Rhinolophus ferrumequinum: one gene and its partners. The protein of the gene in region 2 interacts with the protein of the main gene of each other region in a pairwise test. Links are inferred from orthologs where the notes say so. Each region holds a gene or a part of one and is shown on either strand. Other genes may lie near its edges.

Region 1 (7,811 bases), on a different chromosome or scaffold from region 2:
AGCTGTGCTCTTGTGAGGTCAGGAGCTATAGTCATCTGTGACCTAGATAAGATGGGCTTATTTATTTCACAAGGGACCACTGAGAAGCCCTGGGGAGGAGAGGGATGGCAAATGCTGGGCATTGTAGCTGCTGCTGGTCCGGGGCTCTGCCAGCACTAAACACCATATTCTACTCTACTGCTTAAGCAAGGAACTACTTTAGGTTGAGCTGATTCACTATTATTCAGATTTCAAGAGCTGGAGGCAGTGTAGCCTGCGTTAGACCACAGTGAGGAGAGGCAGTGTAGTGCAGCAGTATGAATACAGACTCTGGGATCAGACAGACCAAGTTCCTGCTTCTGCCATTTAATTAGCTGTGTGATCTTCAGCAAGTCACCAGCTCCTGTGAGCCTTGGTTTTCTCATCTGGAGAACAGAAGAACGAAAGTATGTGCCTCGTAATTATGAGGATTAAAGGAAATAATAAATGCATCTAAAGCACTTAGCCTGGCATATAGTAAGTGCTTAATAAATATTAGCTATTACAGTGGAATATTGTGATATGAAATGCCCTAAAATCTGGCCTATTCCTCACCAACCCCATGTTCCTGAAGTTTACATATCTTACCTCCAAAAGAGCTAATGATAAAGTGACTAATTAAGTCTCAGATCCAATCTGTAAGGGTGAAATTTAGGGAATCAATAATGTAGTTAAACTTAGCTAGTTTGCAGTTTAACTTACCGCATAGCTCACTATCCAGCCACCTGTAATTACACTTACTTTGTTTGCAGTTTGATCCATCCTGATATTCAGCTGTTTTCTCCTTGTTTCTCCCCTCACTGATTAGCTGAAGAACTCTGATTGTTCCCTTTCTCAAGGCTACCCATACCTCCTTAATCCATTTAATCAACAGAATCCCAACCTGGAAAGGGCAATTTCTTAATCCTCAGGTGCCCGGACACCGGAATCCAATTGACAACTCCCTCGCAGTTTTTACTGGTGACGCATTCAAGTCCCAGGCCTCGATGGCCGCGTCCCAGTCCGGAGATAACATTGTCTTCAAACAGACCAGACCCCAGGAAGGATGTCAGCCCTCGAACCTGCCTAACCGACTTCCCCTTTCCTATATAAGAAAAAGCTAACCTGAAGTTAGGAGCAGCTGCCCACTCTCAGATTCTAGACTCTGCCCCATGACACACACCCCACCTCCACCGCCACCACGCTGGTGTTTCTCTTCTGACAACCTGTGGCAGCAATCATTTTTGGACACTGCCATGGGCATTCTCTCTGTGCCCTAACTTCAATAAAAACTTCCTTTGTAGTAGAGTCTGTGAATGCTTTCACGTTTTGTGAATGCCCAGGGGTTAATTACACGCCACGACACAATCAACATTTTCCGGAGGCATTTTTCAGTTTAAAGAAGGAAAGCTAGATAGATAGATGATTGATAGATAGATATGAGTATAGAAAAATATATATATTTCCTAGCTCTTCCCATCGCAAAGTCCTAGAAGCAAAAACACCTCAGTAAGCAGCAAGCACACTAAGCATTCAGAACTTCTCCTTAAATAGCTGTCACCACTTAAAAGAGAAATCAGGACTCCTTGGAGTAAAATAAGAATTCATGAATCCACATAAGAATAAATAATTTCGTAATGTGATATACAGTAAGTTCTTTCTTAAAGTAGAATGCCAACTAATAAATGTGGAAAGAATAATGGAGTTTTTTTTTAAAAAATCACCATACTGTAACCACCATAGTATAACTGAATCAAGCCAGAATTATCTGTGAAGACTAAAACTCAGACAACATTTGACAAGGGATAGGATATTTATATAATCTCGAAGTTTCTCCCCTACAAATTATGTATTACTTTCCAAGGGAAATACAGAAACTTTACAGTGATAGAACCTGGTCACCACAACTTTAACCAGAGGATCAAAGTAAACATCCCCAATAAGGGGCAAAGTGACATAGTGTGTCTCCTGATGTGATACACTTCTTAGTGGGACATAATACACTTCTGTGGATTCCTGCCCCCAATGCAAAACTTGAATCTGATTGAGGAAACATCAAATAAAGTCAAATTGAGAGACAGTATACAACTGACCTGTACTCTTAAAAATGCCAAGGTCATGAAAGACAAGAGGAGGAGCCATTCCAGATTAAAGGAGCCTAAATAGGCATGCAATACATGATCCTTGATTGGATCTGGACCAGGAAAAAAAAAGAAAATTCCATAATGGACAGTGTTAGGAAAATTGGATAAACTGAACATGAATTGTAGACCACATAATAGAATTAAATCAAAGTCAAATTTCCTGGTTTTGGTAATTGAAATATGAGTAAGAAAATGTCCTTCATTTAAGGAAATACACAGTATAACAGGGATGAAAAATGGCTCACAAAAGTGTCTAAGTCCTAATACCTGGAACTTGTAATGTATGTTACCCTATATGGAAGGACTTCGCAGATGTGATTCAATTAAGAATTTTGATTTAGGGAGATTATCTGAATTATCCAGGCAGGCCCAATGTAATGACAAGGGTCTTTATAAGAGGGACACAGTAAGATCAGACAGAGAAGGAGATGTGATGACAGAACAGAGGGAGAAAAGGTGATGTGATTCGGAGCCATGAGCCAAGGAATGTAGGTAGCCTCTAGAAGCTGGAAAAGGCGAGGAAATGGATTCTCCTCTAGAGCTTCTAGAAGGAACGAGCCCTGCCAATACTTGGTTTTAGCGCTGTAAGACTCATTTTAGATTTCTGACTTCAAAAACTTTAAAAGAATAAACGTGTACTTGAAGTCACTAAGTTTGGGGTATAGGGATTCAGAATGAGTCACCCCAAGATGTGCCTCTATGGCACGCAGATTGTTTTGAGCTGAAGGCAACCTGTGGGCTCAAGAGAAACTTCTGCCCTTCCCACTTAACTACCTAGAACTTGAATTAGGGGCCTTGCCCATAATAAGAGATTATCAGAGATAACATTTTTTGACCAATCGGTAGGGCAGGGAAAACTTCTAATTACTGAAAATCTCTTCATCTGTCTCATCTCTAATTGATTATTAGACCAGCTGAAAAAACCCTGAGCGTAGAGGAAAGTTTCCTCCTCTCCCACAGGGATAGTGGTGAAGTTGGAGACAGGGGTATATGTTGTCTCTTTCTGCTAATCTGTGGTCCACCTGAACCAATGCACTTGGATAAACTACCTTCTACATCCCCTGGGGGCTTGCATCACCTGGGGGCTTGCTGAAATGCAGATTTTCAAGGTCCATACCAGGCCTAATGATTCAGTCTACAGTTTAACAAAATCCCCAGGTGATTCGAAGTCACAAGTCTACTTTGCCTTTATCATTGTAGAACTGCCCTTCCCAGAGAGTCGAATTATCAATTTTGCATTCCCAGGAAGCCTCTCTACTTCCAGTCCTTGGGTGGCTGTCACCCTTTCTGGAGGAAGCATCTGCTCCAAATTGCACATTTTCAACAATGGTCTCAATGAAATATGTTGATCTGACAGTTACTAAGACTTGATGCAAAGACAGCAGAGCCACAATAACAGTGCCACAATGTAAGGCCTGGAGAGGGAGGGGGCAAAGGGGACTTTTACAGCCCACTCCCGACCAACTCCGGGCACACTCACCAAGCGGGAGGGGGCTATATTTTGGAGTCTCCCAGAGCTCTTCAGAGGGTCTGAAGGGTCCCCTTGCCCATGGCCTTGCACACAGTAGGCAGAGCAATAAGCATGGAGAGTATCTTTGTTCACACTCTATTCCCAGTGCTAGGCACACAGTGTGTGCTCAGTAAATACTTCTTCATCTGCCAGGGCTCTGATGCTTGTGAGCCCACCCAGACAAGCTGTCATGCAGGGTGTCAGGCGGAGTCTCTGGTCCTGCTCCCCACATAAGAACACAGGAAATGGTGAGGCCAAAAAGGAACACCCACAGAGCCATAGATAGGGGAGTCATACCATTATATTCTCGCTGGTGGCTGGGTTGGAGACACAGGAAACAGGATCCACACGACCTGCAACCTGCTGTCCGCTTCTCTGTCAACCAACCAACCCCACTTGCTAGCTGCACTCCACCGTGCTAACTGCAATCCACTCTGACTAGCTCAGCCACCATCCTCTTGCTAGCCTCCATTTGCTGCTAGCGTAGCCACAGCAGTTATATTAGTGGCCAATGGCTCACTGGTTACAGCTGACGGCCAACTAGCCACAGCTGATGGCCATCCAATCGCAGTTGATGGCCATTTGCTAGCTGAGCCAGCACCTTTCCACGTGACGCGGAGAGCCTGGAAACTGCACTCCTGGCTCTGTCCCCACACAAGCTCATGGTCCCTTCAGTCAGTGCCCACTCTGGCACTTCCAGCGTTCAGTGAGGCATCTCCCGTCCAGTACTGCCTGCCCGGCACGTGAATTAAAACAGAACACTCCCGGGATATACTAGCAGAGTATTGGGCACAAGACCAGGCCAGGGAAAACTGCAATGGCTCTGACCTGGCAGAGGTTGGATGGCTTCCCGGAGGTGAGGGCACCTGAGCTGGTTCTAAAAGCCACCAAGCAGAAGTTACCAGCAAGTGCAAAGGTGTGAAGTCGTGAAAATACCGGGCCACAGAACTTGCAGTGATTGTCTCCGCTGGCCCCGGGGGGTTGTGGAGGGGTCTCCCCCCATTCACAGACAGAGCCCTTTGCGTCTCCTCTCCGCGACCCCGCCGCCCGCTTATCTCTCCCAGGGAGCGCGCGCCCACCTGTCCCGCTCCACTCCTGTTTTCAAGGCCCCTCCTTATAGCCTCATAGTTGCAAGTCTCTACTCACCTATCCTGGCACCCACTCGTATCCGCCGCGCGTTCTCGCCCTCGCTCCCGCGCTCCTCAGCTCACCCGCGCTCGAGCCCCCTCCTCTCTGCTGCGCGTCCCCCACGTCCCGACCCTCCACTCTCAGGTCACCAGCCCGTGCTCGCGTTTGTCTTTGCCGAGCGCCTCATTCCCACCCCAGGCAAGCGCGCTCGCTGCCTAGCGACGGGACACGACTCGCCGGTTGAGGGTAGGCGCGTGCGCCAGGCGTGCGTGTGACAGCGCAGGCGCCCTTTGGGAGACCGGGTCTTAGGGGTTGGCTGGGGTCTGGCTGCGCAGGCGGTTTGGGCCGTGGGACCTTGGCGTGGTGTAGGGCGCAGGCGGTGCCCAGGCTCCCCGAGCCCAGCGAGGGTTAGTTCAGCGCCGGGGGCTCCGCAGGCGCGTCTGGGGCGGTCTCCCTCCTCCTCCGCGGTGGGCGGCGTGCAGGGCGGCGAGCAGGGCGGCGAGCAGGGCGGCGTGCAGGGCGGCGAGCAGGGCGGCGAGCAGGGCGGCGTGCAGGGCGGCGTGCAGGGCGGCGAGCAGGGAGGCGTGGAGGGCGGCGTGGAGGGCGGCGAGCAGGGCGGCGTGGAGGGCGGCGTGCAGGGCGGCGTGCAGGGCGGCGTGCAGGGCGGCGTGCAGGGCGGCGTGGAGGGCGGCGTGCAGGGCGGCGAGCAGGGCGGCGTGGAGGGCGGCGTGCAGGGCGGCGAGCAGGGCGGCGTGGAGGGCGGCGTGCAGGGCGGCGTGCAGGGCGGCGAGCAGGGCGGCGTGCAGGGCGGCGTGCAGGGCGGCGAGCAGGGCGGCGTGCAGGGCGGCGTGCAGGGCGGCGAGCAGGGCGGCGTGCAGGGCGGCGTGCAGGGCGGCGAGCAGGGCGGCGTGCAGGGCGGCGTGCAGGGCGGCGTGCACCCGTCGGCCGACCGCGGGTGGGAAAGGGAACCCAAGCGCCCGCCCCGAATGGAGGATTGCCACATAAAATACGGGACGCCCAGTTAAATTTGCATTTCAGAGAAATAAGGCATAAGTTTGTAGTATAAGTATAGTATAATACAAAGTCGTTAGTTGTTTATCTGAAATTCAAATTTAACTGGGCATACTGTATTTTTATTTGCTGAATTTGGCCGCCTTGTCTGGATCGCCACCACTTCCCTACTACGCTGGCTGGCTTTCTCCCAGGCATGGGTGAGGGACCTCTCTCTGTTTCTTGTAACAACTTATCCATGCTTGAGGCAGTTGTTTCTGTGGGAAGGGGGGCTTTCTTAAATGAAAAAAAAAAAAAAAACATTGCTTACAACACCTTCGTGAGATGGGTATTATCACCATTTCATGGACAGGAAACATGCCAACCGAGGTAATGAGCCCTCTACTGGGTCCCCCTGATAATACCATGCAGGGTCCATAGATCTGAGACGAACCCTGGGTGAGGCCCTACCGTCAGGCCAGAGGTTTTCCTCTTAGGGACCACGGTCCTCTTCCCATGCATTATCTTTCTGGAGGAGCAACAGGAGCAATAAGATAGCCTTTTTTATCTTACATTGACAGATATCAATGTAGGTATTTTTGTCGTTAGAGTATATCCCATTGAAGAAATACAGTGAAGATATTGTGTTCCAACCACAGTTGTAATAATTCTTTTCTCTGTGTGGTTAAGACAACAACTCCAGCTTGTTAGGGAATCAGGTTTGTTTTTTCCAGTTTTTAGAGTTTTGGTTTTTATGATTCCATTTATCTATACACACATACGAGGTTGGGCAATTAAATTCTCGAACTTGTTGCAATGATGTTGCTAAACTAACCTTTTTTGATATCGGAGGGATTATTCATTATGAATTTGTACCAACTGGACAAACGGTTAACCAAGTTTACAATTTGGAAGTGCTGAAAAGGCTGCATGAAAAAGACGAAAACGACCTGAACTTTTCTCCAACAATACTTGCATCACGACAATGTACCACCTCACACGGAACTGTCTGTGAGGGAGCTTTCAGCCAGTAAACAAATAACTGTATTGGAACACCCTCCCTACTCACCTGATCTGGCCCCCAGTGACTTCTTTCTTTACCCAAAGATAAAGGAAATATTGAAAGGAAGACATTTTGATGACATTCACGACATCAAGGGTAATAGGACAACAGCTCTGATGGCCATTCCAGAAAAACAGTTCCAAAATTGCTTTGAAGGGTGATCTAGGCTCTAGTGTCAGTGCATAGCTTTCCAAGGGGAGTACTTCGAAGGTGACCGTAGTGATATTCAGCAATGAGAGCACTTTTTCTAGGATGAGTTTGTGAACTTAATTGTCCGACTTCGTACATACATATTCCTTTCCCCACTGCTGTTGCTAGTACAAAGGATGGCATACTATATACAGTTTTTGCACCTTGCTTTTTTCCCCCTTCATACTATGTCCTAGAGATCACTCTTTACTTTTAGAGATCTTCCTCATTCTCTTTTATATCTTCACAGTTATCCATTGTGTTGCTGTACCTCATCAATCCCTTCATGATGAACATTTGGGTGGTATTTCAGTATGGCTACTTCAGATTTTTGCAAGAAGGGATCCTAGAAGTGAGACTGATGGGTCAAAATTGATGTCATTTTCTAGGTATTGTGTAATTCCTCTCCATAGAGATTATACCATTTTGTACTCTTCACCACCATAGCATGAGAGAGAGCAGTATTGGGGTCTACAGGTGAATCTCATGAGGTCATTTTTTAAAAATTGAAGCATAGTTGGGATACGATATTATAATTTCAGGTGTATGATGTAGTGACTCAACATTTATATACCTTATAATGTGATCACCACACTAAGTCTAGTACTCATTTGTCACCGTACAAAGTTATCACAGTATTATTGACTATGTTTCCTTTCACCTTTTTCACCCATCCCCCCACTCCCCTCCCTTCTGGCAACCATCAGTTTGATCTCTTTATGAGTCTGTTTTCGTTTTGTTTTGTTTGTAGATTCCACATATAAATAAAACCATATGGTTTTTGTCTTTC
Region 2 (7,155 bases):
GTTTTCCATTATATTTGTGACAGCAGGACTGGATTTATAATCCTATTGTTCTTTTAGAAAGCAAGCAGAAGTAGAACCATAAGCCTTTTCCTCTTGAGAATTACAATATTTTGCTATTTTTTTGTGTATATTTTTGTAGGCAAATATCCTTTCATTCAACAAATATTTACCTAACATGTTACACAGAGCTTTCATTCTAGGAGATAATAAACAAAAATATATAACATATTCTATAGCAAACTGTTTAAGAAAAACACAGCAGGATAAGTGTGAGAGGGTGGTGGGGTACATTTGTATAGTTCTCAGAGAAAGACCTTTGTGATAGTGTGAGATTTGGACAGAATCGTAAAGAAATGATAGTTTGAGCTAAGTAGGTACCAAGAGGAAGAGTATTCCTCTTGGACCGAAGGATAGTGCAAAGGTCCTGAGACAGAGACATGCCTGATATATTGGAGGAAAAGGGAGGATAGAGTTGTGGGAAAAATGAGCAAGTAAAACGTCTTTGGATATGAAACCAGAGGTAATAGGGATGGGGGAAGTTTACACAGGGCCTTGTAGACTATGGTAAGAGCTTTAGCTTTTATTCTGAGTGAAATGGGAAGCCACATGTAGGTTTTTAGATAGGTGTTTAGGATAAAGGTGTAGGCTGGAGATTCTGGGTTTCATTTAGCCAGAGATCTAAATGGGATTGCCGAGGGGGAGAGAACAAGTAGTTCAAGTTGTGAGATTTGAAACTTGGGGCTCTCCAGCATTTAGAGGCTGGAAAATGAGGAGGAACCAGCAAGGAGAATAAGAACAGCCATTTAGGAAGGAAGAAAATCAAGAGGGAAATAGTGTGTAATCCTGGCAGGTAAAATAAAGCACTTCAGAAAGAAAAGAGTTAAGTTATCAGTTCTTTCAAATGCTGCTGACAGGTGAAGTAAGACAGAGTAATAAAAATTGGATTTAAGAATATGGAGGCTACTGCTGTTCCTGAGCAGTTTCAATGGAGTGTAGGTTCAAGAGAGAGGAGCAGAAGTGGAGATGAAGATTTTCTGTAGAGGAGAGCAGATCACAGCAATGGGGTAATATTTGGAGGAGTTCCATGTCAAGTTTTTTTGTTTTGTTGTTTAAAGATGCTTTAAAAGCATGTTTATAAATTGACCAAAGTGATCCAGTTGCAAGGGAAACAATAAGGAAAGTGGACAATTACAAGAGTAAAATGGAACTCAAGGCAAAAGTGGCAAGTTAGGTCTTAATTTTGACATTTTAGCCATAGTTACTGGAGTATAGCAGTGTATTCAGATGTAGGAAGGTTGGTAGGTGCAGTGGTGGAAGGCAGAAGCTATTACTGATTTCTGATTTCCCCTATTTTCTAGATAAGAAAACAATGACTTATGAGTGAGGAGGGGGCCTGTATAGTCAAGAAGAAAGATAGTAAATAACTGTCTCAGAGGGCAAGGAAATTAGTCTGAGGGGGTAAGAATACTGAGGAGTTCACTTCAGAGTTATCACTGCTGCGTATTTTTCTTCAGCCAAGTTGAACTGCTCTGACGGAAGCATACACTGAATCAACCAGGGTTGTGATTTAGGCAGGTGAAATGCAGGAAGAGAGAAGGAAAGGATTGATGGTATTTGCAAAGGAGAATTTGTAACAACGGATACTGGAATCTAAAGTAGGCAATGAGTTTTTTAAAAATGGGTATAACATATAGATGTGTCCTTTAGGAAAACTCTATTCTCATTATTTGAAGTAGTTATGTTTTATAAAGTCACGATGAACACTAAACTGCTCCTAGGGGAAACACAGGGTTAGGTTCCTGAGAGACTCTGGTCACATTTTTGTCAACCAATCAATACATCACCTTGTTTTATGCGTTTCTATTTAGATACCTTATTTTACATTGTTGATTTATTAACACTGAACTCATGGCCAAGATCACTAATGATAAGCTTGAAGGGAGCTTTTCTAGGACACGTTTTCTCCGCAAGGCACATCCCAGCTTTCCTGTGCTTACGAATTACCAGACAGCACTGCAGCACTGCTTGGGGGGTAAGGGGACGGTAGTGCTTAAGACAACACAATCACCAATAAACAGCACAAAAAAAGGTGAAAAACATGACATTATATATATTATGAAAATCGCATTTGATTATAGTATGCGAGGTGAAACAAAGCTGAGGATAGCCTTGTTTAACCTCAGCTGAGAATGTGTCAGGCAAGTTAGATTTTTTTGCTACTCTGTGAATATTCATGAATGCTGCATGCATTAATTTTCAGGGTTACAAATAAATTTTAGTGAGTAGTCGAACTCATGAACATGGAATCTGTGAATAATGAGGACTACATTGCCTGGAACTGTTTCCTCCATAGCTCAGTCCAGTTTGCTGCTTTTGATCAAATGATACGTATCAATTTCAGCACACATCTGATCATCAAATAAAAAATTAGTAACACATTTTGCTGCCAGTTTTCAAAGTTTCTGCATACGATCAATATATTACTTTTTGTACCTTTCTAATCGGATGTCTCCTGTCTTCAAAGTATTTGTTACAAGCGTTAGAAATTACACATAAGACTTTGGGTGGCTTTTTTTTTTCTCATTTCAGTCACTGAAAGTTCTTTTCTAGTTACCGACAGCTTAAGTAGGCATTTACTAGTCCTCACAAACAGCAATAATCTTAACATGTGGCTGGTGGGTGTGATAAATAAAGTTAATGTAATTTATTTTTTTCAATCAACCGTGATTTCAGGGCCCTTTCCCCACATCGTTCCATCTCTTCATTAGGTCCAGCAATATTGTTATTTGTTGGATACCAAATAAATCAGTTATTTTTTTGATAGTTTTTTGGAGGAGTCTTGTTTCTTCTCTTTCCTATTCTGCCTCTTTCTTTTATGTAAATAGTTGTATATTTGCTTTATACTAAAATGTTTTTTACTAATGTTGCAAGGAGCAGAAAAAATAATTATCTGAATACCACCAACCTCAAGGAAAACTTAATTTTTTATACACTTGACAGTTTTTCCATTCCCATCTGGCAATGTTACTATTGTGCCTGTAGCAGTCTATAAAATTCGATTTGTAGCATTTTCATTGAACACAACCTAGGCCTTGATTCGCACGCCAAACCTCCAAATGAATTTCCTTTCACCATAGGACTTCAACAAGGAAGAGGAACTAGACGAAAAATGGGAAATAAAGAGAGGTTGGAGAGGGCACGGCTGGGCGTGGAAAATCTTAAACAAGGATAAGGCGGTCCAACCCTTTTTCCAAGTCACCCATCCCCCTGAGTCTCCGGGCTCATCCAATATTTTAATTCACTGTGCCCAGCGGCGCTCCCAGCTCGGTTCAGGAACCTCCACCTTAGAGCTGCGCAAGCACAAGGCCTTGTCGCATTGGGCACAGTATCCCTAAATCCTTCACATTCGTCTTTGCTGGCTTCTGGAGCTGTGACTTACTTCTAACATGCCGCCGCGCGGGCTCCAAGCAGCCCTTGCCCGTCGCAGGTCGGTGGCGCCTTAAGCGTCCAGTTTGAGGCTGGTGTCCAGGCCCGGCTTCCGCCTCCAGAGAGCTGGCCTAAAGGAGCAGTCGCGCGCTCCCTACCTGCCTGAGGGCAGCTTCCGTTGATGCTCACAGAGGAAGCTCCACGGTAACCATCCGCCTCCCGGTCGCCTAACTAGAGGTTTGCGACCACCTCGCCCGAGCCCGAAGGGGCGGGGGCCGGCGGCCGGAGCGCTCCCCCCAGGGCACCCTACCCCACCCCCGCCCACGCCTCGGCGCACGCGCAGCAGCCGCAGCCTCCCTTATTTAGTCCGAGATGGCTTCTCTCGCGCCCCACCGTCCTCCTCCCGAAGGCGGCTCCCTCCCGGCGCACCCCGGGGCCCCTGGGACCAGCCTCGAGCGGGTTCCCAGGCAGGACTCTCCCTAAACTGGAACGGCGGTGGCCGGACGTGAGCGTGAAGAAAAGCAGCGGTAACCGGAAAGAGCTGACGGGTCGCGAGGCCGGGAGCCAGGCCTCAGAGGAAGAGGAAGGCCGGGGCGAGCCGAGGTTTGCCGAAGGCGGCGTTCCGGAGCTGAGCGGGGCGGGGAGGAGGACCGAGGGTGGGAGAGGAGGGGCGCGGCGGAAACTGCCGAGGTTTGCCGAAGGCCGCAGCCTCCGAGTTGCCCGGATGTAGTTGGTGGAGCGGCAGCGGCGGCACCAGCGGCGGCGGCGGCGGCAGGAGGAGGAGAAGGGCCAGGCAGCGGCGGCGGCGGGGGGAGGAGGGGAGGAGGCGGCGGAGCAAGAGGAGGAGAAGGCGGAGGAGGCAGTCGCTCTCCGCGGGGCTGGGCCGGGCGCGTCTTCTTGCCCCCCTCCCCCCGGTTCGCCGCTGCCGCCGTATAGTTGGCGCCGCTGCCCGGACTGAGAGTGAGCGTGGTGTGGACGGAGGGAGATGGCCCGGGAGCGCCGGCGCCAGTAACGGGGAGGTGCTGAGAGTCGCCGAGGGCGCGCCGGGCCCTGGTGCCGGTGCTGCCGCCCGCCCGCCGCCTGCGCGCCCGCCTGCCCGCCTCTCGCGGCCACTCTCCCCCCTCCCCCGACACACACTCACAGGCCGGGCATTGATGGTAATGTATGCGAGGAAACAGCAGAGACTCAGTGATGGGTAAATTGGCTTTTCGTTTCGGGCCGGGCCGCGGCGGGGGCGGGGGGCGGCGGCGGCGGCAGCGGCGGCGGGGGGGCTGTTCCTCCTTATCTGTGCGGGCTGAGCCGCCATTTTTGTTGTTAACCCTGATCCGGATCGGGCTGGGGAGGAGGAGCGGCCGCGCGGGCAGGCGAGGCCCGAGTGAGTGGGGAGGGAGCGGAGGGCCGGTTCGCGGCGTTTCGCCCTCGTTACCGCCTTTAAGCGGCGAGTGTCTGTGTGCGGGCTCAGTGCCGCTTCGTTTGGTAGGTTCCCCGCGGGGAGGGGCGCTGGGGGGGCACCCGTTTTCTTCCCCCCCCCCGAGATGTTTCATGTCGCTGTCTCTCTTCCTGTTTTTCAGCTGTCACGACCGGAGGGGGGACTCGCAGCCTTACCAGGTACCAGCCGAGACCGGGGTGGAGGGGTGGATGGGGGACGGAGGGGGAAGGGAGGACCTGCTGCTACTCGAGCGCAGGCTTCAGAAGTCGCTGCAGGCCCTTTGGTGCAACAAACCCGAAACAAGCACCACGGGTTCTCTTAAAATGTTGTGTTTGGGTCCATTAGCGCTCCCCAACAAGGTTTAGTTACTTATTTTGACAGGTGACTGGAGGAAGGTCAGTTGTGTTAGAAAAAAATCATTCTCAGCCAGGAAAGACCTTACTCGATTATTTGGGTGTCTAAAGAATCGATAGGGTGAGGTGACAGGTGATTTCTGAACCGTATTTATTGTATTGGGGAACTAAAAGTTAAAGTATTAAAATTAGATGAAAGGTCTGGGAAGAAACAACTAGTTGATTTGTAATTCTTAAGTGTGTTGTAAACCACTATCCCCTCTCAATTGTTTTTTGTGCAAATAATTGCCTTACTAGTGAAAGATAGTGGATTTGCTTCTGTAGGAATTGAGATCTTTGGATACTTGGATAATTCATTCTTATGTAAGAGGGTTTTAGGTATTTGGGTTCCTTTTTATTGCAGTTGTTGCATGTAAAGTTTTAAAAAATTGATACAGGTGGTGCCTCTTTTCAGGGGGCGAATCTCTTAAGTGGTTAATTATCAGATAACCCTAGCAGTGAATACTTTCTGCATCTAATTACTTTATTAGTGATTAGGAGAGCAGGTTTCTAAGCTGATCTTTTAACTGGCTAGCATGAGTTAAAGCTCAAGTTAGAAACCCTAGGTCCCTTGATGTGTAAAACAGTTTCATTATAGTTGGATATGTCAAAGATTAAACCCTAGTGAATCTGCTCCCCTAAAAAACATAATTACACATTGTAAAAGACTGGTATATCGTGGTCGTCTTAAATATGTGTTAGAATAAAACTAAACCATTATTGTGAAGGGGTTGCATTAAGTTTCATTTACATTAGAAATGTTACGTTAGAAATATCAGCCAACATTTTTTGTATACCTTAAAATTGTTTTACACCTGTAAGAATAGGTAAGATATGTTTGAAATGATTTATTTGAATAAAAGATTGGAGAAACGGATGCTTCTGTAGGTTTGCAGAAACATGCTTAAGCTCATTATATTTGTGTCTTTGCATCAGTTGTAGAGCAGAAATAGACTACAGTAGTACTCAGTTTCTACTTTTCTTTAGGTTAAACTTTATTGAAAACTTTATTGAGGAATTAATGCACCAAAGTGTTTGGTTTTATGTATTTACAAGATACTTTATAGACTGGATTTTTGTACTTTTCGATTTTTTTTTACATGGTATTATGATTTGTATCAGGAGTGTTATAATAATTTAGGCTTGTAGGTCTTGTCTGAATACCTTAAATGCACAATTGAAAATGGAAATTTTAATTTTATTGATACAAATTCATAAAACTTCATGAAGTTAAAAAGCCAGATTTTGTGATAAAATTAATTTAGGAAGCAACGTTTACAGTTTCAATTTTTTCTCTTCTTTGGGGGGGTGATGTTTTACAGGCACTTAAGTATTCATCGAAGAGTCACCCCAGTAGCGGTGATCACAGACATGAGAAAATGCGAGACGCCGCAGATCCTTCACCACCAAATAAAATGTTGCGGAGATCTGATAGTCCTGAAAACAAATATAGTGATGGCACAGGTCACAGTAAGGCCAAAAATGTGCATATTCACAGAGTTAGAGAGAGGGATGGTGGTGAGTAGCTTTTTTGTTGAAACTTTAAAAATACTTTTATTTTTAATAATAGCTCTGTATAAAACAGTAGGTGGAAATAACATTTCTAATGTGTGGATGTTGCCATATAATTATGTCATCAAAATATTTTACTTCTGTCAATTTACTTGATTCCTGAAGAAGTTATTGTATAAATAAGATGCTGACCTGAGCATCTAAAAATGGACTCCAACGACTGATAATAGAATGCATTTATGAATATAGTCTACGAAATGCTTTACTAATGATGAGAGAAACTCAGGACATTTTTCTAAGAAAGGAACTTGCACCTTTTCAAGTAAAGGTTTTAGTTTATTTGGCTTAATTTATTTTGAGATCCGTGTTGCAGCTCAAATTTACTTTTTAAGGGCC
Region 3 (7,917 bases), on a different chromosome or scaffold from region 2:
CCATTCAACATTCAGCAAATAGCTACTAAGTACCTATTTGTACCTAGGTACAAGGGGTTCAGGGGTGAGCAAATCCACCAGGCCTCTCTACTTATGGAACTCACTTTCTGGGGATGAGTGGAGTGGGGGAGGAGACCGAAAACAAAAGGTAGACATGAATAGACAATTACTTTGAAGGAAATAAAGATATCAGGCTGCAGAGTTCAGATGTGGTCTGCTTCTGCTATCTCTGAGGATGTCACATATGAGCCAAGACCTGAATAATGTCAAGGATCCAACCTAAGATCTGGGGAAGAGTGTTCCTATTCAGCTAAAGGGGCCAGCAAGTGCAAAGGTCCTGAGGCAGAAACAACCTTAGCAAGTTTAGGGACAGAAGGCTTTGTCTTCTTCTTTAGGCTCACGTGGAGAGGAGGAGACAAGGCCTTGCATGCAGGCCCCTCAGGTTTCATAGAATGATGTCAGTCACCTCCCAGCTTTGATGATGGCACTTGGCCGGCCTCACAGACTGTGGCCTGTCCTTCTGAGCCTGTCAGGGAGTCGAGTCTTGCGTCTAGGGCCAGTGAGGCTGTCTCCAGGCTCTGGGCCACTTTTCCTCCCGCCTGGCATCTGCCTCCCCTGCCCTTCCTGCCGGCTGACCCACATCCTGGGCTCTTCACAGACGTGGAGCTCTGAGTGGCCCAGTCAGCCCCCCCAGGTCTTTGTCTCTGGGGATGTTTGCCTCCTAGGCGAGGGCAGGTAGGGTCTGGAAGCCACCCTTCTTTGTGGAGCTCTCTCCTGGGGTGAGTCATGGTCACTGTTATGTCCTTCATTCATTCAGAAATTACTTCTTTCAAAAACATCTCCTGCCAGGCTTTTATGTTTCAAACACTTTCTTTGCTGTGATTTTCTATAGTTATTTAATCAATTATTATTTTTTTATGAATGACTCTTTTTTTATGTTCTCTGCCTTTCTCTCTAATCCTTTCATGACGCTAAGAAGCTCAGGGGTAATTCAGGCTACAGCCCCTGACACACCCCCACCCCCGCCTCGCCCGCCCCCAGAACTGGAGGCTCCAGGCTGGCCTGGGGCCCCCACCCTCCTGAGGCCCCGGTTCTGGGTCTCTTTCTTGCAGCGGAAATCCTTAGTTGCGGCTTCTCAGCCTTGCTTTCCAAGGCCTGTGTGGAGGGTGTGGCCTCACCAAGGGGCAGTGAAGGTTGTGACCTCTAGGATGAGTGTCCACTCCATGGCCACCTCCCTCCAGCCAGGCCCTCGGGCGGCCCTGCTCGCTTGTCCTGGACCCTCTCAGACCCTCTCTCCTGGCCCCTGGTCCCACAGCCACCAGACCTGTGTCCTCAGGCTCCACAAGGCCTCCTTGGCCTGGGCGCCCCCTGAGCTCCACAGGCTGTGGAATCAGGCTCCCCCCTCGTGTGGCACTGGCTGGGGTCCTCAGTGGGGCCTCAGGAGCCAGAGGTGGCTTCCTGGCTACACCCACCTTGCCCACTGCTCACAGACCAGCCTGGGCCCAGAGGGTGAGTCTGCCCAGCGTGAACGTTGTGGGGAGGGGCTGGGATTGTCTGTTGTGAAGGCAGGTGCTTGGGGTCAGAGGCCAGGGTCAGCGACACCTGAGTTCTCCCTCTACCCCCACTCAGGCCGCCCCGGCCAGTGTTCAGAGTGCAGAGGGGGGAGTCCTCACAGAGCTTCTGGGCTCCTGCTGGGCCACGCCAGCGGATCAGGGAAGACCTGTGAGCACAGCTCCAGTCCTCAGACACCACTGGATGCGGTGCCTCCCCTGAGGCGCCACACCTGGCCAGCAGGTGAGAAGGAGGCCCTACCCCTCTCTCCCTAACACCCGAGGGCAGGAAGCTGGTGCAGCCTTTTTTTTTTTTTTAATTAGTTTCAGGTGTCCAAAACAATGTACTAGACATTTCCACCCCTCACAAAGTGATAACTCCCCTCCCCCAATCTACTGCCCCTCTGACATCGTGTAGCTGTTACAATTCCACGGACTCCATCTGTAGGTGACTGGACTAAGGAGCTGTCGTACATTTATACAATGGTACAGTGTTGTTTAAGGGCCGAGTCGCTTCAAGGCCAACTTTCCTGGGTAAGGCCAGCCAAGGAGAAGCACGCAGTCTCACAGTGCCCCTCCTTTTAAATGACTTTTGGGGGGGCTGAGGTGCAGTCAGGTGGGCAGGGCCGGCGGGGGAAGGGAGCTAACGCGGTTCTCTGGTCTCCGTGTGGATTTGAAGTATTAGGTTCAGTGTGGGCAGAATGCTCAGGATGAGGCACGTGGGAGGCGATTTCCTTCTTCTTTATGGAGTTTGATGAACTGTTTGAGAATTAATGTTTGTTCTTGGGAAGCAGGACATGTGTGAGTGACAAAGGTAAGTGTGTGGACACGCAGGAGAGCAGCGGGAAGCTGGGAGCCTCAGAAGGAGCCTGATGCAGTGTCCACCACACCCTGGACTGTCCCAAGGGACCAACGTGCCGAATGCCACAGGGACTGTCCTGCCGAGCTGTGAGTCTGGCCTGGGAAATAATGTCAAGCTGAAAGGAAGTGGTGGTGGGTGGGGAGGACAACACAAAAGCTCCCAGGGGTAGTGTGGGGTTTCCAGGAGGCCGGAAGGTTTGACAAGGCCGGGCTCAGAGGATGGGGGTGCTTCGCCCAAGGGGCTGGGCCTGGAAGCTGGGCGGCAGGGCTAATAACTGAGGGCCACCCAGGGGGAAGCTCTCTGAGGGTCGCTTCCCATGGATGGGCCGTGGGACACTTCTGTACAGGGAGTGCTGTCAAATTCCTTCCCTCATGGGTGTCATTCTCAGGCTTCTCCCACCGCCAGCCCACCTGCACGGTGAAGTGTGGAAGGAAGTGAGGTGGTCACTGCTGCAGGGGGATGAGCCCTGGCTGTTCACCTGGCCTCCGTCTAGTGGCCACAGCTCACACAGCCCCAGACACTGTTCGCTGCAGGAGACTGACGTTCTCAGGAGCAGAAGTTGTTTTCTAGAAGGTACGTACTTCCCCTGAAATCTGCAGAACCTAGACTACTCAGCACAGAGCAGTGACTCCATAAGCGCCTGAAAGACACTTTATGGGCTATTGTCACCAAACCTGTATGAATGCCCAAGACGTACATGACAAGATGCTCCAAACACTAGAGAAATGCAAATTACAATCACAGTAAGAGGCCATTACACACACACTAGACTGACTAAAGTTAAAAGACTGACATATCAGGTGTCACAGGGATATGAAGCAACTGGAAACCCCAGCCATTGCTGGTGGGGATGAAAAATGGTGTAGCCACTTTGAAAACAGTCTGGTAGTATCTTGTAAAACTAAACCTACTCTTACCACACAATCCAGCAATCCCACTCCTAGGTATTCATTCAAGAGAAATAAAAACTTATGTTCACACACAGACTGGTATGTAAATGGCCTTAGTAGTGTTATTCATAAATAACAAAAAATGGAAAGCAACCCAAATGTCCATCAACTGGTGAATAAATAAACAAAGTGTTCTATGCAATATTACTCAGCCATAAAAAGGAATGACATTAATATATGTAGCAACATGGACGAATCTCAAAAACATAAGAGAAACAAGTAAACACAAGACTACGTACTGTACAACTTCATTTATATGGAACTCTAGAAAAGGCAGAATTATAATAACAGAAACCAGATTCGCGGTTGCTTGGGTTGGGATAGGGGAAAGAGATGGACTGCAAGTGAGCGTTTTAGGGCGCAGGAATCTTCTGTCTTGATTGTGGTGGTGGTAACATAATTGTATATAATTACCAAAATGCACCAGCCTGCACACTTAAAATGGGTGAATTTTATTGTAGGTCAATAATAATTAAGTATAAATTTTAAGTAAAAAAACTCCACACCTAGATACATCATGGGTAGGCTTACGCAAACCAACAGTGAAAAGAAAAGTCTTCAAGGCAGCCAGATACACAACAGACAGAACAAAAATAACTACAGCTGTCTTCCCTTTAGAAACTCTGTAATCCAGAAGGGAATGGAGTAAAATCTTTAAAGTACCGAATGAAAGAAAACGACCAGAATTCTATAGTTGTTGACACGATCTTTCAAATGTGAAGGTGCAATATAGACTTTCAGACAAACAAAAGGTGAGGGCATTCATTGCCAGCTGACCTGTGCTAAAAGATTCAATAAAGGACGGTCTTCAGACAGGAGCCTGACACCAGATGGAAATTTCGATCTACACTAGCAATGAAGAGCATTGAAAATGGTGGGGGGGAGAAAAAGTAAATAGAAGCTATAAAGGTATGCATTAGAAGAACTAGGAACAGACCACACGCTTCCAGATTGCTAGAAGGCTTTCTGCAGTGCACCTGTGCGGGGTGGATGGAACACAGGTGGGACGGAAGCACAGACAACCTGGCACAACGAGCGCTGGCGCCACCGTTTGGCTCTCACCTCCCTGGGAGTTAGGGAGGCTGGCACACGCTGACCCTACTTTACAGGAACAGAAACGGTATCTCAGAGAAGACGAGTTCCTGCTGTACTTCACCAGGAAGCCGCATTAAGTAACAGGATTGGGCGTTTTCTATTCCGTGTTGTTTGAGTTAACTTGGTCCCCTTGGAATCTGTGAAACAGGCAGCACAAGTCTTGGAAGTGGCGTCGCTGTGAACCAGCCCTGGCGGTCCCCTCTAACACGCGGCGAGCACCTTCCTGCTCCCCGAGGCCGTTGGGAGGGTCCAGGGAGAGGACGCCACCAGCCCACTCGCAGCGAGGCAGTGGGCAGGGCAGACCCCCGCCCAGCGTGCGCGCGCAGCAGGCGGGCAGGGGGCGGAGCGCCGCGGCGCGTCCGTTGCTAAGGCCGCGCCGCCCTGGCGACCGAGCGCTCGCGGCCCCGCGCACGCGCCCTGACCGACTCCGGTGCACTGTGGGATGGAAACCCGAACGGCGCGTCTGGGCAGGAGCAGGCGGCGGCGGCGGGGCCGGAGCGGCGGGAGAGCGGGGCTTGGACTCGGCGGGCCGGCGGGAGCGCGGGCGGCGCCGCCATGAACGCGGCGGTGGTGAAGCGGACGCAGGAGGCTCTGGGGAAGGTGATTCGGAGGCCGCCGCTGACGGAGAAGCTGCTGAGCAAGCCCCCGTTCCGCTACCTGCACGACATCATCACGGAGGTGGGTGCGGCTCCCGGGTCGGGGCTCGGGTGCGGGGAGCGGGTCGGGACCGAGGGCGCGGGCGGGGTCAGGGTCGGGGCCGGAGTGAGGGCCAGGGGTCAGGGCCCAGGTGGGAGTCGGGGCCCAGGTGCGGGTCGCGGATGAGGGTTGTGGTGCGAGCCGGTATCAGGGCCCAGATGGGGGTCCCGGCCCTGGTGCGGGTCGAGGTCGGGGCCCAGGTGTGGGCTGGGGCCCGAATCAGGGCTAGCGTCAAGGTCGGGCCTCACGTAGCTGTGCGCAGCTCCTGCCCGGGAGCCTGCCTGGCCTGCGGCCCAAGGGGTGACCGTGGGCCCAAGTCGGTGATGCCTCTGCGAGGTGTTCATCACCCTCACCCCTGCTCTTCCTTCTCATCCATCCCTGCACCTCCTTTTCTGGGGAGTCTCCCGGCCCCTCTCAGGGAGCATTATATCTTTCCAGCCTACCTGTGTATCTGTTAGAGCACATACTCTGTTCTGCCTGCCAGAGCTGTTTTGTGGTTCTTTTCCTTCAGTGCCTAGCACGCCCCCTCCCCTCCAGGTTTTCCTCCGCAGGGCTCTGCACACTGGTCACCACATATTGGATGTTTAATGGACACCTGTGGTTGTAGGGGAACCGGAAAGGGAAACTATAGAAGAGCAGGTTAGTATCTGCTGATAAACGGCACAGCCTGCCTTCAGTTGAGATTGGTTGTTGACTTTTCCCCAGTGGAAGGTGAATTCCTCAATGACGGGGACCGTAACTGTTTTGTTGGCATGTCCCGGGTGGCACTGGGTACGGTACACAGAAGGGGCACAACAAACAGTCACTGTTGAGTGGAATCTGTCAAGGCTTCTGGCTCAGGGAGGCGGTGCCGGTTCCTATGGTGCATCTCAGGTGGGTATTGAACTTGGAAACTAGGGTGTACTCCTTGGGAGTTAGGAATCAGGCTGAGCTTGGAGACTGCCGGGGCTCCTGATCTCTCTCCACGGTGGTCCTCGAGCTTCATTTCTCACTCTTTCCAATAGGCTGGACACTTTACTCTTCCACAAACTTTGCTTTACTCATTTCTGTGATCTTAACTTAGTTTCTAATGTGTGCCTCTGTGTTAAAAACCCCAATTGTGCTGAAAACTTTCTGGAATCCCACCCACATCCCAAGGGCTGTCTGGCCTGGCCTCTTCCTCCTGCAGCTAGTCCCCAGCACTTCCAGCTGCTCTGGACAGTGTCTGCGGAAGGGACGTGGCTGTGTGGGGAGCCCAGTGGGTGCTGGGCCGCGTGCTGCGTCACCTCTGCCCTGTGCGGTAGGCAGGTAGCGTGCTCTAACCCAGGAGGGAACAGGTAGTCACCAGGACATGGGCCTGGCTGAGCACAGCGGCTGCCGCCACGGCCTCATGCTCTCATCTTCTGTGTTGGTCCTGTGAGCCCACTGAAAAGCGAGTCAGGAAGGGAGTGGGGGGACATGCCTCATCCTGTGGGACTTGGTGTGCTCTGGGCAGACATATTCGAATGCATTTTCAGATAATAGGTGGAGAGCCTTGTATGAAAATTCTTTACTGCCCCGGAGGGTTGTATTCAAGCCACCATCTTAGTATTTTAGCTACAGCTAAACCAACTTTGCCTCTTTCATGAATCAAAGCACTGGTCTTGTGACATCAGTATCTCTTGTCACTTAAAATTATTGCTGACAGTTTTAACTGCCAACGAACTGGGAAAACCTTGAAAGAAACAAGGGAAAAGTTGCCAGGAATATAAAGTGTAGGCTACTCTTAATATTCCACCTGTCTTCTCAGGAAAAATAGTAGCATAGCTCTTAATTAATTAAAAATAGTAGCCCAGCTCTTAGGTAGTTTGATGAGGAATGAAAGCTAGCTCAGTTCATAGCTTGCTGTAGCTTCGTCTCAGAGAAGCCTGCTATTAGCATGCGACTGTCCTCGTTTTTAAACACGGCTGGCAGTGATACATATGCTTTGTATCCACCCAGGACACACACATATACAGGTGTACTCATCCTTGCTACACACACTGCAGTCTGACTTTTCTTTCTGTTTCATTTGAAAAACAAAAATGCTGTTGCTACCCACTGTGTTGACCTGTCACATTTTGAAAAGCTCTGGTCTGAGAGAAGCCAGGACCCTGACTGTGTGTGGGGGTGGGGAGGAATGAGGAAATCACCACCCCAAAAGCTAGTTTTGGGGGTCATGGGGAGGTCCAGGTTGACTGAGGGGAGAGAGCAGAAGCGATGTGGCTCTGAGCACCCCTGTCCTAGGACGTGGGGAACAGTGGAGGAGAAAGACCTTTCCGTCCCGTGTCAGAAACCCGCGCTGAGCTGTTCCTTTTCTTCCCAGAATCCATTCTCTCCACTAGGCCTGAGTGGCCCTTGTAAGGTGCTGTCCCTGCTCTCGAACGTCTCAGGGCCTCGTGTGGTCCTTAGGCTAAGTCCGTATTCCTGAATGGCTTCGAAGGCCTTCTGGGTGAGGCCCCCGCCTGACTCTGGCCGGTTCCTCCTGCCCCAAACGCCTTATGACCCCTTGAACAGGACCCTCTTGGCCCTGGACCTTTCGGGGGCTGTTTGGCCTGGCACGCTCTTCCTCGGTACCCCCTCCCCCAACTCTTCTCCTGAAGCCTCTGCTCTCAGTTTATATATGATTTCTTCTGGGATGCTCCCTGACACCCCTCGCCCTCCTGAGTTTGGATTCGGGATGGATCGTGTGCTCTCTTAGTGCTCTGCAAATCTTTGTAGCGTCTACCTGTCCCCACAGCCGGCTGGGTCCCGCCTGGCGCAGGGC
Region 4 (7,687 bases), on a different chromosome or scaffold from region 2:
TTTTCACATCCAAAAAGTCAAGTTGGTCTTTGGTTAATAGTCATTCAGGAGATGAGAGATCTGTTGCATTTTTCTTTTTAAAAATAATCTTATCTGTGTAGTCCAAGATCAACTTCATCTCTTATACACAAAGTACTTTATCTCTCCAAGACACCCTTGAAAAGAGTTAATGGTTCCTTCCACCTGTTGGAGAAAGAATCTAAGGCTCTCCTTACTGACCTGTTCATGAACACCTTCTCTGTACAGAGGTAAAAACCAGGATCTTAGTACCACATCACACCTGGAGTTTCTCTGACCAAAGTACAGAATCCACTCTTTGTTCAACTCTTTCTAGACTACAAACAATGATTTAATATGAATCACAGGCATGAAATTAATTCTAAATTTTACTCCATTTTCTTTTTCCATAGTCTTCAAATGTATACTATTGATGTCTGATTACAAAGACAGAAAAGGAGTTACCTTACCAAACAAAACTGAAAAAATTCCCATTTAAATGAGAAAGCAGTGTATATGCCTTATGCACTTCTGCATATGAAATGTTAAATTACATAGTAAAAAAAGAAAAAGGAAAAACAAAATAATGAAGAGCTTCAGGTTACAATTCCTGAATTTAGGAAAGCTAAAGGTCACTAGCATTTTATATCCTTTTGTCATATAGATGGCTATATAGATTACTCTTGAACAGCTCGTAAATCCAAAAGCACACTTCTTCATACTGGTGGAAACCAGGGGAATACATTCCCTATTATTACTGGGGGAAAGTTCAAGACTGTAAACAGCTTCAAAAAAAAAGCAGCATAATTAATACATTGCTAATGACGTAAAACCTTATTTTACATCTTCAGGATCAGTCTAAAACATTAGGTTTATGAGCATAAACATATTTACTGTACTTATTAAGTTATACATTTCCTTGAACCAAATATTTTTTCCTCAGAACCCAATTACCAAAACATTGGAAATATAAATATCTACTCCTTTAAAAGTCCCTACAAAGTATGAATAGAAAATTTTCACTTTTACAACAATTTAAAGAACTTTATAGCACAGTATTATGTAACACAGGTGTTTCACCCTCTCTCTGCCCTTGCAAGAGAAGCAACATGCTAAGAAATCGAGGCAAATTCTCAACAGAAAAGGAAAATTATACATAGCATCCAAAGGAGAAATAATACATGAAAGCCAAAAACTTAGTAACAGCCTAAAAGCAATAACAATTCTAATGTACACTCGCTACACTTACCGTTGACAGCACAAAACACAATATCCTGCCTTACACATTTTGGAATTGCAATTCTGAAATGCTAAATCCAAAGACAAAGCCGCCCTGGGGAAAAATAACAATTGCGCAACAGATCAACAGCTCCAACTTGTCCCTTGGCCTCGGCGCGGCAAGGTTTGCACGCTATAAAGCAGGAAAGGGCCAACCAAGGGCCGCCGTGACAACCAACCAGCCACTGTCACCGAGGCCAAGGCCACGCACGCGGCGCGCGCCACGGGGAGGAATCCCGCGGGAATCGACAAGTCCGGTTGCGGTCCTCAGCCCCACCCACTCTTCCCTGCGCGTTGAGAGGGGATCCCGGGTTCTCAGAGCCTGAACCTTTCCAACTGCGCGAGGCCCACTTCGGCCGCCGCACGTCGGGGCATTCGAGCGCTCCGGGCACTTGGGGACCTCCTCCGTCCCCCACCTAGGGGCAGGGCTTTCTCGCCAAACTGCCTCAGAGAGTGATCCGACGAACAGACAGATTATTTTGCAAAGGAACACCCTTAGACGGCCCAGCAGGATGAGCACGCAGTGCCGCAGACCGCGCAGGTTGTGGGGCCGGGGTCAGCGGCGGCAGAGGAGGGGTTCCGGGTCCCAGCCCGGAGGGGACCTCAGCTCCCCCGAGAGTGGCCCCGTGACTAGGCACATTTTTGCCGGCTCCAAGGCGGGGGAGACGCGCGGCCCCGGAAGGGCCGGGCCGCGCCGGCTCAGACCGCCAGCGTCCGCCCCCTCCTACCCTGCAGCCTCTGGGGCCGCTCAAACTCGGGGGGCCTAATGGGGCTCCTGGGTCCCAACCTGGTGGCCGGGGACGCAGCTAGAGATTCCCGTTCACCCACGCACGCACGCGGGCGTAATCCCAAGCCCCAGCCAGTCGCCTTCTGAGGCCGCAGTCAAGTTGTCGGTCTGACCACCCCGTTGCGCCCCTACTCCCCTCACCGCCCCTTGGGTCCCCGCTCCCGATCCCCGCCCCACCCCGCCCCGGCGCAAGCGCAGCGACTCCAGTGCGCGGCCGCTGCACTCCAGGCTCCGGCCACAGACGGGAGGAGAAGCCGGCTGTGGCTGTCCGTGCCGGGCCGCGGCTCCCTCGCGCCCCTGGCCCCGTCCTGGTACCACAGCGGGGCCCTGAGGGCCGGGCAGCACCTGCTGGGACGGCAGTCCTGGCGGCGGCAGCTCCAAGTCCATCATGCTGAGTTAGGGACTGTGCTCTGGGGCTCCCCGACGGCGGCGGCCCTGTCCTGGCTGCCGAGACGCGCTGCGGACCAGGCGGCACTGACAGCGGCAGCGGCTGCGGCGACGGCGGGCTCTCGGGCACTCGCTTCTCGCCGACACGGCCCGAACAGCCGGCCGGGCTCCTGCCCCGACACGCCTCCCGCCCCCCGAAGGCGGGGCAAGAGCCCGGGCCTTTCCTTCCCTGACTGGCCGCGGGAGGAGGTGCCGAAAATCCCCCACCCCCGCCCCGGCTGACGCAAGAAGCTCGCGGTCCTGGGGCGGGAAAGGGCCGTGAGCGGGGGTCCCAGTGGGCGGCTGCGGGGGGGGGTGGTGCCGGGAGGAGGGCTGCTTTAGCTCCCGGGTCCCCGCGCTCGATGTACCCTATCCGCACATAAAGCCAACACTCTCCGCCCGCGAGATTAGCAGTTGTTTGCCGAAGGTCGCTCGGGTTCGGGCGCTTTGAGACAGTTTAAACAGTTGGAACAAACACTCCTAGAGCCCCGGCAAAGGCGCTGGTATCGGAGCTGCGCCGCCCTGATTTGGAGTTGCAGAACCTTGCCCCGCTTTATCTCACCCCACCGCCCGAGAGTGGCGCCAGCCCGGGGGACGGGGGCTAAAGGCTTGGACCCGGCCCCGAGCACCGTGAGCTGCCCTCTCGCCCTCGGTCCCATCCGGGACTTGCCCAGGGGAAGTGTGGACCGCGCGGGGAGCTCGTGCTCGCGGTCACCCTGAACGCCCTCCACTTACTCCCACGCGCCTGCATTCTCGCTAAGCTCAGGACGCCAAGGGCAAACGAAGAAGTCTCTTTTGGTTGGAGAGGAGGCAACAACAGCTTCATTTTCCCACCAACGCACACACACGATAGCACAGATGGCGTCCTTTAACACTGTGCAGTACTAGGACATGCCATAATCTTGACAAGTTTCTTTTCAGGTACTCACGATGAATTTAAAAATAAAACAAAGTTATAAAGTAGTTTGTATAGTATGGATCACTGTTGTAAAAACATGTGCCTAGAAAAAGAATTCCAAGTTGTCCACCAAATAGTAGTAGTTGTAGGCTCATGAATGATTTTTATCTTTGTTATTTTAAATGTTTTCAATTTACAATGTATTAACGTTTTACATGAAAAACAATTACTTAAAAATCAATCACTACCCACAGAAAACTTCAGGTTCTTGAAAACAGGAATACTGTGAAATCTTACAAGATTTAAAAAAGAATTGATAAATTATTTTCTCTTACGCATTAACATAACTCTTTCACAATACTGGTTTTCAGATTTTAGCTTCTTGGAATTATGCAAAACCAGGTGTGATGCCAGCAGTGATGCCAGCAGTGGTTTTACTATTTCATTCAAAAACCACACACACAGCCCCTTGGCTATAGCAGATCAACGCCCAAAGAACTTACTTTCTCATGGTTGCATAATTTGACACTCCCAGGATTTATCTGTAAATTTATATGTTCAAATAGTCCTTGGGGTAAGTGAAGCCTACATTAATTGCTTGTAATGGAAGCAAGTTTCTTCAACTTGAATTAAACCTTTTTAGCTGCTATGTGAAAAGCCTGCAAAATAATCTGCACACTGAAAACAAACAGGAGAAATTATTTACAATGAACCTGACATGAAACAGGCAGAGATATAATGAAATGACATTTCTGCATCAAAGAAGGGCAAAGTATATTGTTAACAATTGGAGTTACGTATTGAAACTACTACATTGGAGAAGGTAGACAATGAGCCGAGGAGGTAGGAGATAACAAAGGCATATATAACATGGCTGCTGCCCTCAAGGAGTTTGTAAAGTGTTTGGTATTTCCTCCTTGAGCAACAAATTGCCATTGAGTTTAGACTCAATGAAATAACCTTTACTTTTACAGAAGTGAAATTGCTGGGAGTATATTATTTTAGGCACCTGCAGAGTACATATTTTCAAAGGGAGTAGAACAATATGATAAGAGTCTGAACATGTTTAAGAAAAATAAACACTAGGGAAAAGCTATTTGGCGTAAGAAAAGGGAACCCCAGTCTCATAGCCGCCACATAAAGCAGTTTCCCAGTCTTTGCAGACATTGAAACAAGATTGTCTTTATGTTAGGCCTTGCCTTCCAAACTTATATATTGTGCTGTGGGTGCACAGATTCAACATGTTGAGAAGCTCCAGAAGAACTGGAAAGATGATGCTGGTTTTTCTCTCCTGTCCTGGTGCCATGGGAGCCCTTTTTACTGCCAGGCTCTCCTAGCTACTGCTTTATTTTTTCCCCTCAATTGGTTTCACATTCTACTGATCCTTGTACATTGATGTCTGAATTCTTTGATGTCTTTGGAAAGACAACCCTCCGTATATGCTTGAAATGTGTCAATATTGCAATACTTTGCTCTAGAGTTCTCATAAAAATTAAGCATCATCAAGTAAGCCTTCTGAGCCCACAGTTTGGATAATGGTAATGCAATGACCAATTTATTTCACTTTCTTTTCCTTGATCTAAGCTGCCAACTTTGTAAGGCCCAAGAAAGTACCTACTGTTTCAAAATCCTTCCCCATCTTGAGTTTTCTTCACTCTTCTTTTCACTTCTCCTTAATTGTAATCCATGTTTGAGCTAGGAAATACCGAGATTCTATTGGAATTATAGCTGAAATTGTAAATTTGTTCAACTTACAGTTGGAGCATTTCAAGTAGCTGGTTTTTAAAGATGGCACCTAAGGAATCAGCCTTCTGATACCGATGTAATCTCCTGACACTGAATCAAGGCTGGCCCTCTGATTTGCTTTAACTTATGGAAGGAGGCTGGAAATGACACACTGTCAGGTCTCCTTAATTTTATACTCTTAGAAGTCAGCCATCACATAAGAAGTCTGACTATGTTCATGGGGAGAGAAGCCATGGGGAAAAGCACTGGGGGATGAGACTCCAAGCAGAGAGAGAGGCTATATGAACCAAGGCATCAGATGGGTGAGTGAAGAAACCATTCTGGACCTTCCAGTCCACCTAGTCAAGCCCTAGAGGACTGCAGCCCCAGCTGCTATCTGACTGCAACCACATATAAAGACTCTAAGGAGACCCACAGAAGCCTGCCTGGCTAAGCCTAGGGAACATAAAGAACTGTGTGTGAGAGATTATAATAGTTTTCAAGCACTAAGTTTTGCTGTGGCTTGTTTCACAGCAATAGATAACCAAAACAGTGTGTATTGAATATCAAGATTTCTCCTGGCTGCTTTTTGTTTGTTAACCATTACTGGGAGCACATATAGGACTAGTACTTTGCAAACCCTCAGAAGCAAACTGACTTCCCTGTGAATGAGGAAGGTATCTTTCCTATAATATATGCTTGTTGCTACATACAAAGTAAATCACCTCATCACAGCATGCGTCAGTATCATACCATTAGATGGATGTTGGTGAGATCTTCTCCTTATCAAAATACACTTAAGGAACACAGACATTTCAGCAATTAAGTAGATGGAGGAATAAATGCATACAGAGATTCTGGCCCTGACATAACCTCATTTATACCAGTTTTGTAAGATACTTTCTGAATATCTGCTGAGGGAATTTGAACTTCAGGAGCAGCGTGCATAGTGGATAAACTGAACTCCAGTATAGCAGTGTTCAACACAATTAGTGTATTAATTTCAAAACACACCCATAACCTTGGTTCCTTGGTGTGCACATCTCATTATGCAAACTACTGACACAAAGAGCTATCAATCTCCAAAGCCAGTTTTAGCTTGTAGTTTCCTGCTCATAAGAGAAACGTGCTCTGCAGGAGCCACAGTGCAATGAGTAAAGAAAAACACCCAGAAGTTTAAAAGAGTGCTTCTGAATGATATGTGTTGACATCTATTTAAATATATATGCACAGGAAAAAAATACTGAACATATATGCTCAAAAATGGTAAACATAGTTGTTCTGATTAGTGATGATTTTATTTTCCTCATTTTGCCTAAATAAATAAACCTGCATTTTCCTAAATAAACATATATTACTTTTATAATAATAAGCAAAACAGAAGTGGGGGTAGGAGTGTAAGGGGGGTATTAAGCTTTTCTCCCAAGCTACTGGGTCCACTTCATTTTCAAATTGAATTTTAACCATAAGCTTTGGAAATCTTTCTATTCTGTACCTACTAGAGTGGAACCTGGAGAATTTGATCAGACCTTTAAGTGTGGTTGTGGTAAGGGTCTAAAAATCCTTTGCCCTTTTAATCTATTGCTATATTTGCAAAGTGGAATAGGGGCCCCTAGACAAAGATGGAATTTTATGAATACATCAAGTAGAGACTAAGAACTACAGCATTGGAGTGATGTGCAAAGTGGCTGAGACATAACATCACTGTGTGGGGAAAATAGAGTGCACAGACACACAAAAAACACCGTGTTTCCCGAAAACGAGACCTAGCCGGACCATTAGCTCTAATGTGTCTTTTGGAGCAAAATTTAATATAAGACCTGGCCTTAAACTATATTATATAATACCCGGTATTATATTATTTATATTATATTATACCCAATATTATACCCAATATTATATTATATTATTTTATATTATTATATTGTATTATATTATATTATATTATATTATACCTGGTCTTATTATTATAAGACTGGGTCTTATATTAATTTTTGCTCCAAAAGAGGCTTTAGAGCTGATAGTCCGGCTAGGTCTTATTTTCAGGGAAACACGGTATACCTAGAGCTATGCCTTCGAGGCTGGTTACCAAATATTGATAACGGGTGTCAAATATCAGATAATTTTCACTTTATTTGTACTTTCCTGCATTGTTCAAGTTTTTCTAGTACACATTTTTAGAATTTGGGGGGAAATCAGTTAAATTCTTCTCATTTGGGGCAAACAGAAAGCAAGATGCAATGATGGAAGAGCAGAGCATCCTCACGGGCAAGGCTTGCAAACAAAGCCTTTAACATTCTTGAGGCTGGCATATAAAAAAGGGAAATAAAATTTGCCAAGATATTTGTTTACTGGCATTTACTATACCATGGACTTTCATTTTAGCCTAATATGTGGTATTAGAATTAAAAGAACCCTTGGGGATCTTCTGACCCAATGATGGCAAGTAAGATTTACTTTGACTGCCAACTCCAGTTGATTGGCAGTGCTGTTTACAATGTTTTGCTGAGAAGAATTCAGAAGCAGCTTCCTAATTTGGTAGAAAATTTTCAGTGATTGATTAACAATGTCTGCCA

The links.
Region 1: the proteins of WAC (region 2) and DYDC1 interact in binary tests that used the Homo sapiens proteins (3 or more experiments, as listed by UniProt). The two-hybrid records come from large-scale screens. The link is inferred for Rhinolophus ferrumequinum from reciprocal best matches to the Homo sapiens genes WAC and DYDC1.
Region 3: the proteins of WAC (region 2) and TRAF3IP1 interact in a two-hybrid assay, tested with the Homo sapiens proteins (2 studies listed by BioGRID and IntAct). The link is inferred for Rhinolophus ferrumequinum from reciprocal best matches to the Homo sapiens genes WAC and TRAF3IP1.
Region 4: the proteins of WAC (region 2) and NFE2L2 interact in a two-hybrid assay, tested with the Homo sapiens proteins (2 studies listed by BioGRID and IntAct). The two-hybrid records come from large-scale screens. The link is inferred for Rhinolophus ferrumequinum from reciprocal best matches to the Homo sapiens genes WAC and NFE2L2.

The regions. Positions count from the first base shown.
Region 1 is NC_046299.1:56,289,588-56,297,398, reverse strand, and holds the start of DYDC1 (DPY30 domain-containing protein 1), read left to right. Parts: upstream 1-4,803; 5' UTR 4,804-5,186; intron 5,187-7,811. UniProt on the Homo sapiens protein: Functions as part of axonemal radial spoke complexes that play an important part in the motility of sperm and cilia. Plays a crucial role during acrosome biogenesis.
Region 2 is NC_046288.1:908,615-915,769, forward strand, and holds the start of WAC (WW domain-containing adapter protein with coiled-coil), read left to right. Parts: upstream 1-4,154; 5' UTR 4,155-4,580; coding exon 4,581-4,621; intron 4,622-4,819; exon of another isoform or gene 4,820-4,902; intron 4,903-4,997; coding exon 4,998-5,034; intron 5,035-6,551; coding exon 6,552-6,765; intron 6,766-7,155.
Region 3 is NC_046291.1:2,181,409-2,189,325, reverse strand, and holds the start of TRAF3IP1 (TRAF3-interacting protein 1), read left to right. Parts: upstream 1-4,908; 5' UTR 4,909-5,012; coding exon 5,013-5,135; intron 5,136-7,917.
Region 4 is NC_046291.1:48,397,584-48,405,270, reverse strand, and holds the start of NFE2L2 (nuclear factor erythroid 2-related factor 2), read right to left. Parts: upstream 3,013-7,687; 5' UTR 2,453-3,012; coding exon 2,408-2,452; intron 2,086-2,407; exon of another isoform or gene 2,063-2,085; intron 1,840-2,062; exon of another isoform or gene 1,247-1,839; intron 1-1,246.